Linked DNA regions of Danio rerio. The main gene of each other region encodes a partner of the protein of the gene in region 2 in a complex. Links are inferred from orthologs where the notes say so. Each region holds a gene or a part of one and is shown on either strand. Other genes may lie near its edges.

Region 1 (4,289 bases), on a different chromosome or scaffold from region 2:
AATGTACAAAAGCGCTGCTAATAGGAAGTCTTATTTGTTGTTTATTATCTATTGTATAACTGTAATGTTACTGACGGAACCATTTTGATTACAATACAATCATTCTAGACATTCAACATAAAAACAAAACATGAATATCTTTCTGAGATGTCTTTTGGGGATAGTTTCTGAATATTGCTGCCCTCAATAGTTACAATGCATACACCTGTTGATAACTATGGAATATTAAATAATTTAAATATGTTATTACATTTCATAAACCGTTTTAATTACTTGTGCTTACACTTGATTTAGTTATTAATGGCCAACATGTGTCCTGTGGATTTGAATTACCTTCAAATGCAAAGTATATCTATCTTTTGCTCTAAAAATGAACATTAGTTTTAAAAAATCATAATAATATTTAAGGAATTAGCAGTATTTCAGTATTATTGAAACAGTAACAAAACATTTCAGTATATCAAAAAGATAAACAGCTATCAATAATTAGTAACTCTATTAATATGAATAAATGACAATTGGCTGGATCAGCTTGTTCTGACATATACCTTCGTTATAAACACATTATAAATGGGAATGTTGATATGTATTAAACACATTGCCGAGAAACAGAAACTGAAAGGGTGAGGCGGGATTACGACTGCCAGTAAAAAAAAAACACATTACAAACATAAATACTAACAGTGTACAGACTATCTGGTTATACCTATAAAACATATAATAGTATATAATACTGACAGTAAAGTTTTGCAAACTTACCCGAGAGCTGAACGTTTAACGTTACTGGCAGTTTTTGCAGCTGCGACTCACTAACGTTACTTCCTGCTCTGAGACCGTCAACAACACCGACAAATCAAGTGACAATGTACGAAACACATTTCACTCATACAAAAAATCAAATAATAATTATTCATTAATAATAACACATTTCTGTTAGTAAATAAATGTGTTTAGACTGTTTCACAATTTCAGGACAGGTTTAATAACAGCGTTACACATGAATTAATATAAACCATTAGCGTTAAACAAAAAAGTACACAAATAATACGTCTTCATGGTTACGTACGTCTGTCACTAAATGAATGTTTAAAAACGTCGCCGCGAAGTTTTTCTCCGCCATCTGAAATTGCTGGCAGTAATAAAATAAAAGTCCCAGATGAACCTGTAAGTCTCTGCGTAAAATGGTAATGTCCTCCCTCCTGGCGGCGTATGACGAGATTGGTTCAATTCTTGCCAACCAATAGCATTGTTCGTTACTGTGATGTGATGTCGCTTGTGCGCATGCGTGAACGAAAAACGTTTCGAAGCAAACAGAGAGCTCACGCGTGAAAGGTAGCTAATGCTTTGAATGTTTACATTTCGTACTCGTTTGTACACTGATAAATGACAGGATGAATGATATGTGCGGGGTTTTATTGCAATTTTAATATGATGAATTACGTGTCTTGTTGGGTTTATAATGGAAGAACGTGTTTGTGCATAGTGCAGCATCTCTTAAATGTGCTCTTACGATAGGTTTAGGTCAAATAATGTGTAATATTCTAATGAATTTATTCAATTTAGACTATATAATCATGTTTGTGTGTTTGCTTTAAGCCATGGATTCTCAGAAAGACATTCAGCCCCCCAAACAACAGCCAATGATCTACATTTGTGGAGGTGATTGCTCTTTTGATTGTATTTATGTTTATAATCTATATGTATATTGATCTATTAGAAGGTTTATGTATTGATTATATTTTTGTAATCAGTCATTTCTTTCTTAATGCTAAACAATCAAGATGTTCACAATCTAGTCTGTTTTTGAGCTTGAAATTTTGTGTGTGTGTGTGTGTGTGTGTGTGTGTTTGTTTCAGAGTGTCACACAGAAAACGAGATCAAGGCCAGAGACCCCATCAGATGCAGAGAGTGTGGTTACAGGATCATGTACAAAAAGAGGACCAAAAGATGTATCCTTTATCAACTAAACCAATGCTTTGTGGTAGGCCTGGTTGATACGACAAAAAAAGTTGATTAAATTAATTTCACGCTATAATCCTCTCATTTGCTAATAATGAGATATGTCATGATATAGTAACTAGGGATACAACAATACAGTTAGCCTTAGTAAGAGGTTAAGGAGAAAAAACTTATTGCAATACTTCTTTATTTTACTTGATAGCCAAGAAAAGTACACTAGTTTGTAGTTTAATGTATAATAAAAGTAAATTAACTGAAATCTCACAGCTGCTGGTAGCTTATGTACAAACTGGGGAACACGTATATTCCTACATTTTGAAAATACACATACATGTGAAAAATAATTTCAAATAAACATATTTGATGTAATTTTAAGCTCTGGATGTTTATTAGTTTTACATTTTCTAAATGCATATTGTGTCACTGTTTTGGAGCACACTAGCTAATAGGATTGGGCGATGTTGACCAATTTGCCATCATATGATGTATAATGTGAAACAAAGTAATGGACGATAACATCGTTATTGTAGGCGTCAGTGAATTAATTATTAATTCATAACGGATTAATTATTTGTAGCCCATGTTTCAACTACCTGACCCACAAGGTCTTTGTTTTACCCATAACCAAATCAAAAATAAATAAAGTTGCACACAAATTACCACCTTTCAATCACTTTTTCCATTGGACTCTGGCATGAATAGGCCAATAGAGTGATCTGTGTCTTTACAATGACATTGACAAACTTGGTTGGGAAAAAAAGGTGCACAACCAACCAACTGTATCTGAGGTTTTCACTAAAATTACTAAGTATAAGCATGAAAGCGAAACACCGAAGCAGTGTACTGATGCTGTGACACATTACCTGATAGATTCAAAAGACCAAAATGTCTGAAGCTCTGATACGAATGTATACTGCAGGCATAACAGTGTGCATTTTCATCGATATCGAGTGGAAGGAAGGCTTTTCAGAAATGCTAGATGAAACGCCTGTGTGGACGTAGGTCGCTTTTGTTCTAAAATGCCATTTTAAAACTAAGATGTATTAAGGCTGATTTATACTTCTGGGTCAAACACCGGCGTATGCTACGGCGCTGACGCATAGCCCTTCGCCGTGGCCATCGCCGTCACTGACGTGCACCTCTCAAAAAATGTAACTACACATCGCAACAACGCGTAGCGCAAGCTCTGTGATTGGTCGGCTTGGTAGCGCTGACGAGTCTGGGCGGGACCGAGAGCTGCGCGAATGGCGCGACGCCGCGCGAGCGATTGTTTACAAGTGTGGAGTCCCGTGATGGAGCTCCGGATGGAAAGTTTTGTTTTGTGTTTACCTTATAGTTAAAGTTGTTGCACGTCCGCCGGTTCCTGCCTTAAAATGAGCGAGTTTGAGCCACTTGTACATCCCAGAAGTGTTCAGGAAATGCAAAAAAGTAGCGAAGAAACTCAACACAGAGGAACATTTACACCTCACTGCCAACTAGCGTTTCGGAAGTGTTAATGCAAACCGACAGAGACAGCGCGCAGAAGTATAAATGCACAGCCACGCGCGTTGCCTGCGCCGTGGGTTACGCCGGTCACCTGACGCAGAAGTATGAATCAGGCTTTAGTGTAAACGGGGCCTAAGTGTGTATTTTTCACAAACGGATTGCTGCTACGGTGGGGTGGAGGTTAGCGATGCCAGCTCAGCATCGATATGTCTATCGACGATGGCTTCGTCCATCGACCCAACCCTACTAGCTAATAGATATCCTTAAAACTAACATCTAAAAAAAAGTTTAGTTTGAGTTTCACAGGACCTTTAAAAAAAGGCAAACTAATGAAACTGGCCTAGAGAAAATTAAAGGGCGCCAACCTCAGTATATTGACCACATCTCAAGCACTATTTGTTTTTGTTCTTTACATTTTAAAGTATATACTCAGAAATGCGCTCATTCATGTGTGAACATATTTCTTACTTCATTTAGAACTTCAAAGCAAATGTTTTTAGTAAAGATGTAGAAATATGAATAAATTCTTAATAAAATAAAAACACACTTTAAATACCAAATGATTACAACGATTAATCCAACATAATGTAAAAAATATTGCTAAATAAAATGCCAAATGTAAACATTGTTCTTTCTAGATTGCAAATTTCCCATATGATGCCGTTGTTCATGTTTCTGTCTGCATCCGTAAACAAAGTAAATGATAGAGTATAATATAAAACAACAGACTTTGTTTATTGCACAGCCCTACTTGGTGGTTGAAATAAGTTTATTCAAACAAAAGTAACTTTATTCTATTATTTACTTAATTTCATTGGGCTATTCCAAACATTAACCATTAAAAA
Region 2 (3,831 bases):
ACAAGCGAATCCGGATCTCAGCGTTTGCAGATGAGAACAGCTCTCAGGTAAACAATAATCCTCCTTGGACACGTAAGTTATTGTTGTCGCGCGTCGCGTACACTGTTAATCCACACGTGACTCCAGCTGAGCTCTCACAGAGAGAAAATGAAAACGAAACTTAACGGCAGCAAACTATAAAAGCAACACTTCACGCTTGTTTTGCCAATACAACGTGGCGTCTTTGCTGTCTACATTGTGACAGTAATGAATATTAATGAAGTTGCACAATAGAGCGCGCTGATTGGTTTGAACCAAGCCTTACTCATGCATTAATGCATCACACTGTAAGACGTAATAAGACTCACTCTGGCACAGACGTCCAGTCTGCACGCTGGAATACACGCTATTATGTCATGACCGTGACGCAGCTTCAAAAATTCGTTTCAAACCGGAAGTACAAATTTGCTTGGAATAACGCAAAAACAACCAATTTACACTTTTTAGTGAAATATAGGTGTCCTAATAGTGTTTTTAGCAGTGTGGGACACATATACGACTGTCAACAGCTCAAAACATGTGTTTTGGTGTTTCGTGACCCTTTAAGTTTGAATGCACAACAGGACACTTTATGCTAGATTTTCTAATGTCAGTGTATTAAATGTTACCGTTTTCAGACACAGAGGACTTCTTCTCGTTCCAGATCAAGTAATCCAGTAAGCCGCAGTAGGCTGTGATCAGCGTTTTGCTCAGTGATTGAGATCGGGATACCCTTCCATATCTCCAGCTCTCTGCGATGGAAAGCTGCCGTTTGGCTTCATCCATCTGTCCGTTCAGCAGGAGATGATAGCAGTGCTCCAGACTAATCTACAACAATCACAAGTAAACGAATCACATGCTGATAATGATGCAGACTGGGGCGCTCTGCTATTGGAAATACATGCTAGACACTGAATGCAGAGTAAATATGGAAAGTTTGAGAGGTTTAATAGCACGCACCTTTGAGAAGTTGAGGACCCCGACGTTCTTCAGCTGTTCATATAAAGCGTTGAAATCTTCATTGCTAGTGTTTGGGAGATGATGCAGGATTTCTGTGCCCAATCTCCACAAGATCTGATGGACACAATCAATACACACCATTGAAACACGCTGCGTATGCACAGCAAATTCATCAGAGTTAAATTCTTGGTGTTGAAGCATTTCAGAGTGAAGTGTTGACGTTAAAGAGTTAGATTTTGATAAATGAATATAATAAGAGTTAGAATTGATTTTATTCAGTGCGAAATCAAGGAGTTATCTTTTCAACACTTGGTGGTGTTATTTCCAACATCCGGGAATTCATGCGGCCCCAGTCACTGAAGAATTTTCCAGACGCCATTTTCCATCTGATGTTGAGAACAGCAACTGGTCAGTCAAACTACCTAAATGTTGGTATTTTACTGACTTTCTTTAAGGAAATACAGTTGTAAACATATTGTTAAGTTAATAACTTTAGAATGGAGTGACAATTTTAAACTTCTGCGGTTCATTCATGGTCGTTTGTGTATCTAGCTTAACTGCATTACTATTGACTTCTTTTCAAGAATGTTTTTATATGCTCACGCATACATAGTGCAAAAAAACATCAAATGTACATCTTCAACACATTTCTGTCATGCTTAATGCCATTTTGTGCGTTGTTACCCATCTGTAAAATAAAATCGACACTTCTCCTTTAATTCGAAGCAAACTAGCGAGGGAATCCCCGGAGCAGCCTAACGTTAGCCTACTCTGTCCGGATGCTAACGGCAACACAGGACGGTTTCCATAAGCTCTGGAGAGTTTCTGAAACATATCTGGTGAGTAAATGAACATATGTACTTGTATATTACTTGTAAAAGGCTTCCTGACTAAAACATATGATTGTTTGTTATTTGTGTACGTTAATTTGGTTATTTTAAACACTGCGGCCCTTTTAAACGGGTTCATTCGTGGTCGTCCATATACCGTTAGTCCATAGACTCGCGTGATAACGTACGCTTGAATTATATTAAGTGTTGACAACCATTAACCGTTGGAATGTTAACATTAATGTCTTTAAATGACCGCGTTTGCACTTTCTCAGACATTTAACGTTACAGAAGTCTCCGGAAAGTTGCGGGACTAATGTTAACGTTATCCAGAAAAATGCAGAGACTCCCAGATGCCCAAGTAGATGCCCGCAAATGAATGATAATCTCCCGGAAATCGCGCGTCTCCCGCCCGGTCATTAAACACTTTGCACACCCCTCTCCACCGCATCCCTCCCAGCTCTTCAGGTACTTCGCGCGTAAGTCACCCCCACCGCTCTTTAGGTACTTCGCGCGCAACTCATCCCATTGCTCTTCAGGTACTCATCTCTTCCGCCACCTCCCGCAAATCAACTCTGTATCCCCCGAAAATGACTTTTCCCAACTCGGGATGTCTGACGTTAGTAAGCAGTGTTGGAAAGGTTACTTTGAAAATGTAATAGATTACAGATTACAAATTACCCTATTTAAAATGTAATAAGTTACTGTAATTTTCGATTACTTTATAAAAGTAAAGTAACTAAATACATTTGATTACTTTTTGATTACTTTTAAGTTTTTAATAAACATTTTCAACTAAATAATTTTCAAGCATTTATACAGAGCAGGTGTGAGCTTACAGTAGCTCTGTTTACTGTTAAAATCTCAAAAGCTTTCATCACTTAAATAAAATTAATTTAATTTATTTAAATTTAAAGTAGAGCCACCACAAAACCAGACCTTATCACAAAAACATGTTTACTGTTGTTACAAAATCACAATGTTAGTTAGTTGTGCAGGTGATTCATGTGTCATTTGCAATAAAAAAAAATACATCTAATTTTTGCTAATTTTTTAAATCGAAGCCACTTAAATCCAAATCAATCACATCTTAGTGATCAATAAAACTGCCAATGAAACATATGAGGCAGAACTGTTCATTTCAATTATTTACTGTAAATAATATGCTGTACCAAACAGGAAAACATTATAGTACATAACAGCAAAAACAAAAAAATCCAATAAAACCAGGTGTTACACATTTTAAACAGTATTGATCCGTGATCGTTAAATGTAGCTTGTGTGGACACTACTGCACTAATAACATAGCTTCACGACTGTGAAAAGGTATTTGATTTTTTTAGCAAAGCTACCGTCACGCTACTGAGAAATGTAGTTCAGCTAGCTACACTGTTAATGTTATAACCTCACTTTGGCCAGAGGAGTCTGCTGGTGCCCTGAAATTCACAAATCGATAACTTTGTGAGTCATAATATATCATGGGAAATGAAAGAGTCTGTTTTTATTTCTGTACACTCAAGATAACGACAAAAAAACGGCTGTTTTATAAAACAGCGAAAGGCTTCCATAGCTGCAGATACTTCCTCATGCTTTTCAATGGCAAAGAGGATTAGATGCGGTGCGCCCATGACCATTAATTTGATTTAACAGTAGGGGGGACAATAAATATAACATTTCTTATGATTAATTTTTTAAAGATTTTTTGAAGGGGACACAAATAATACAGCTGAATTGTACTTCTAAAGATATGTCCCCACAGTTAAAAATGGTTTTATTGTTTATATTACAGCATGGAGACTACATTATAGTTATTTTCAAAGTTTTTCTCAGGTTCAATGACAGCAAATTTTTCTTGAAAACTATTTATTGCATTGTTTGTTGTGTTTACAGTCATCAGACTGACTCCTGAAGCCGAATAAATGCAGGAAAAGATGTTTTCCAAACTCATATAAACTAACTAGTTTACATTACACTTGTTAAATTGAGAGATCATATTGTAAATCGGTGAGCCTGTGAGGTTCAT

What was found.
Region 1: taf1a (region 2) and polr2k share a complex: the UniProt entries of both Homo sapiens proteins name them as parts of the pol I pre-initiation complex. The link is inferred for Danio rerio from reciprocal best matches to the Homo sapiens genes TAF1A and POLR2K.

The regions. Positions count from the first base shown.
Region 1 is NC_133194.1:13,081,117-13,085,405, forward strand, and holds the start of polr2k (DNA-directed RNA polymerases I, II, and III subunit RPABC4), read left to right. Parts: upstream 1-1,252; 5' UTR 1,253-1,332; intron 1,333-1,596; 5' UTR 1,597-1,598; coding exon 1,599-1,659; intron 1,660-1,856; coding exon 1,857-1,949; intron 1,950-4,289. UniProt on the Homo sapiens protein: DNA-dependent RNA polymerase catalyzes the transcription of DNA into RNA using the four ribonucleoside triphosphates as substrates.
Region 2 is NC_133195.1:55,132,186-55,136,016, reverse strand, and holds part of taf1a (TATA box-binding protein-associated factor RNA polymerase I subunit A), read right to left. Parts: intron 1,818-3,831; exon of another isoform or gene 1,705-1,817; intron 1,387-1,704; exon of another isoform or gene 1,324-1,386; intron 1,093-1,323; coding exon 979-1,092; intron 847-978; coding exon 648-846; intron 1-647. UniProt on the Homo sapiens protein: Component of the transcription factor SL1/TIF-IB complex, which is involved in the assembly of the PIC (pre-initiation complex) during RNA polymerase I-dependent transcription.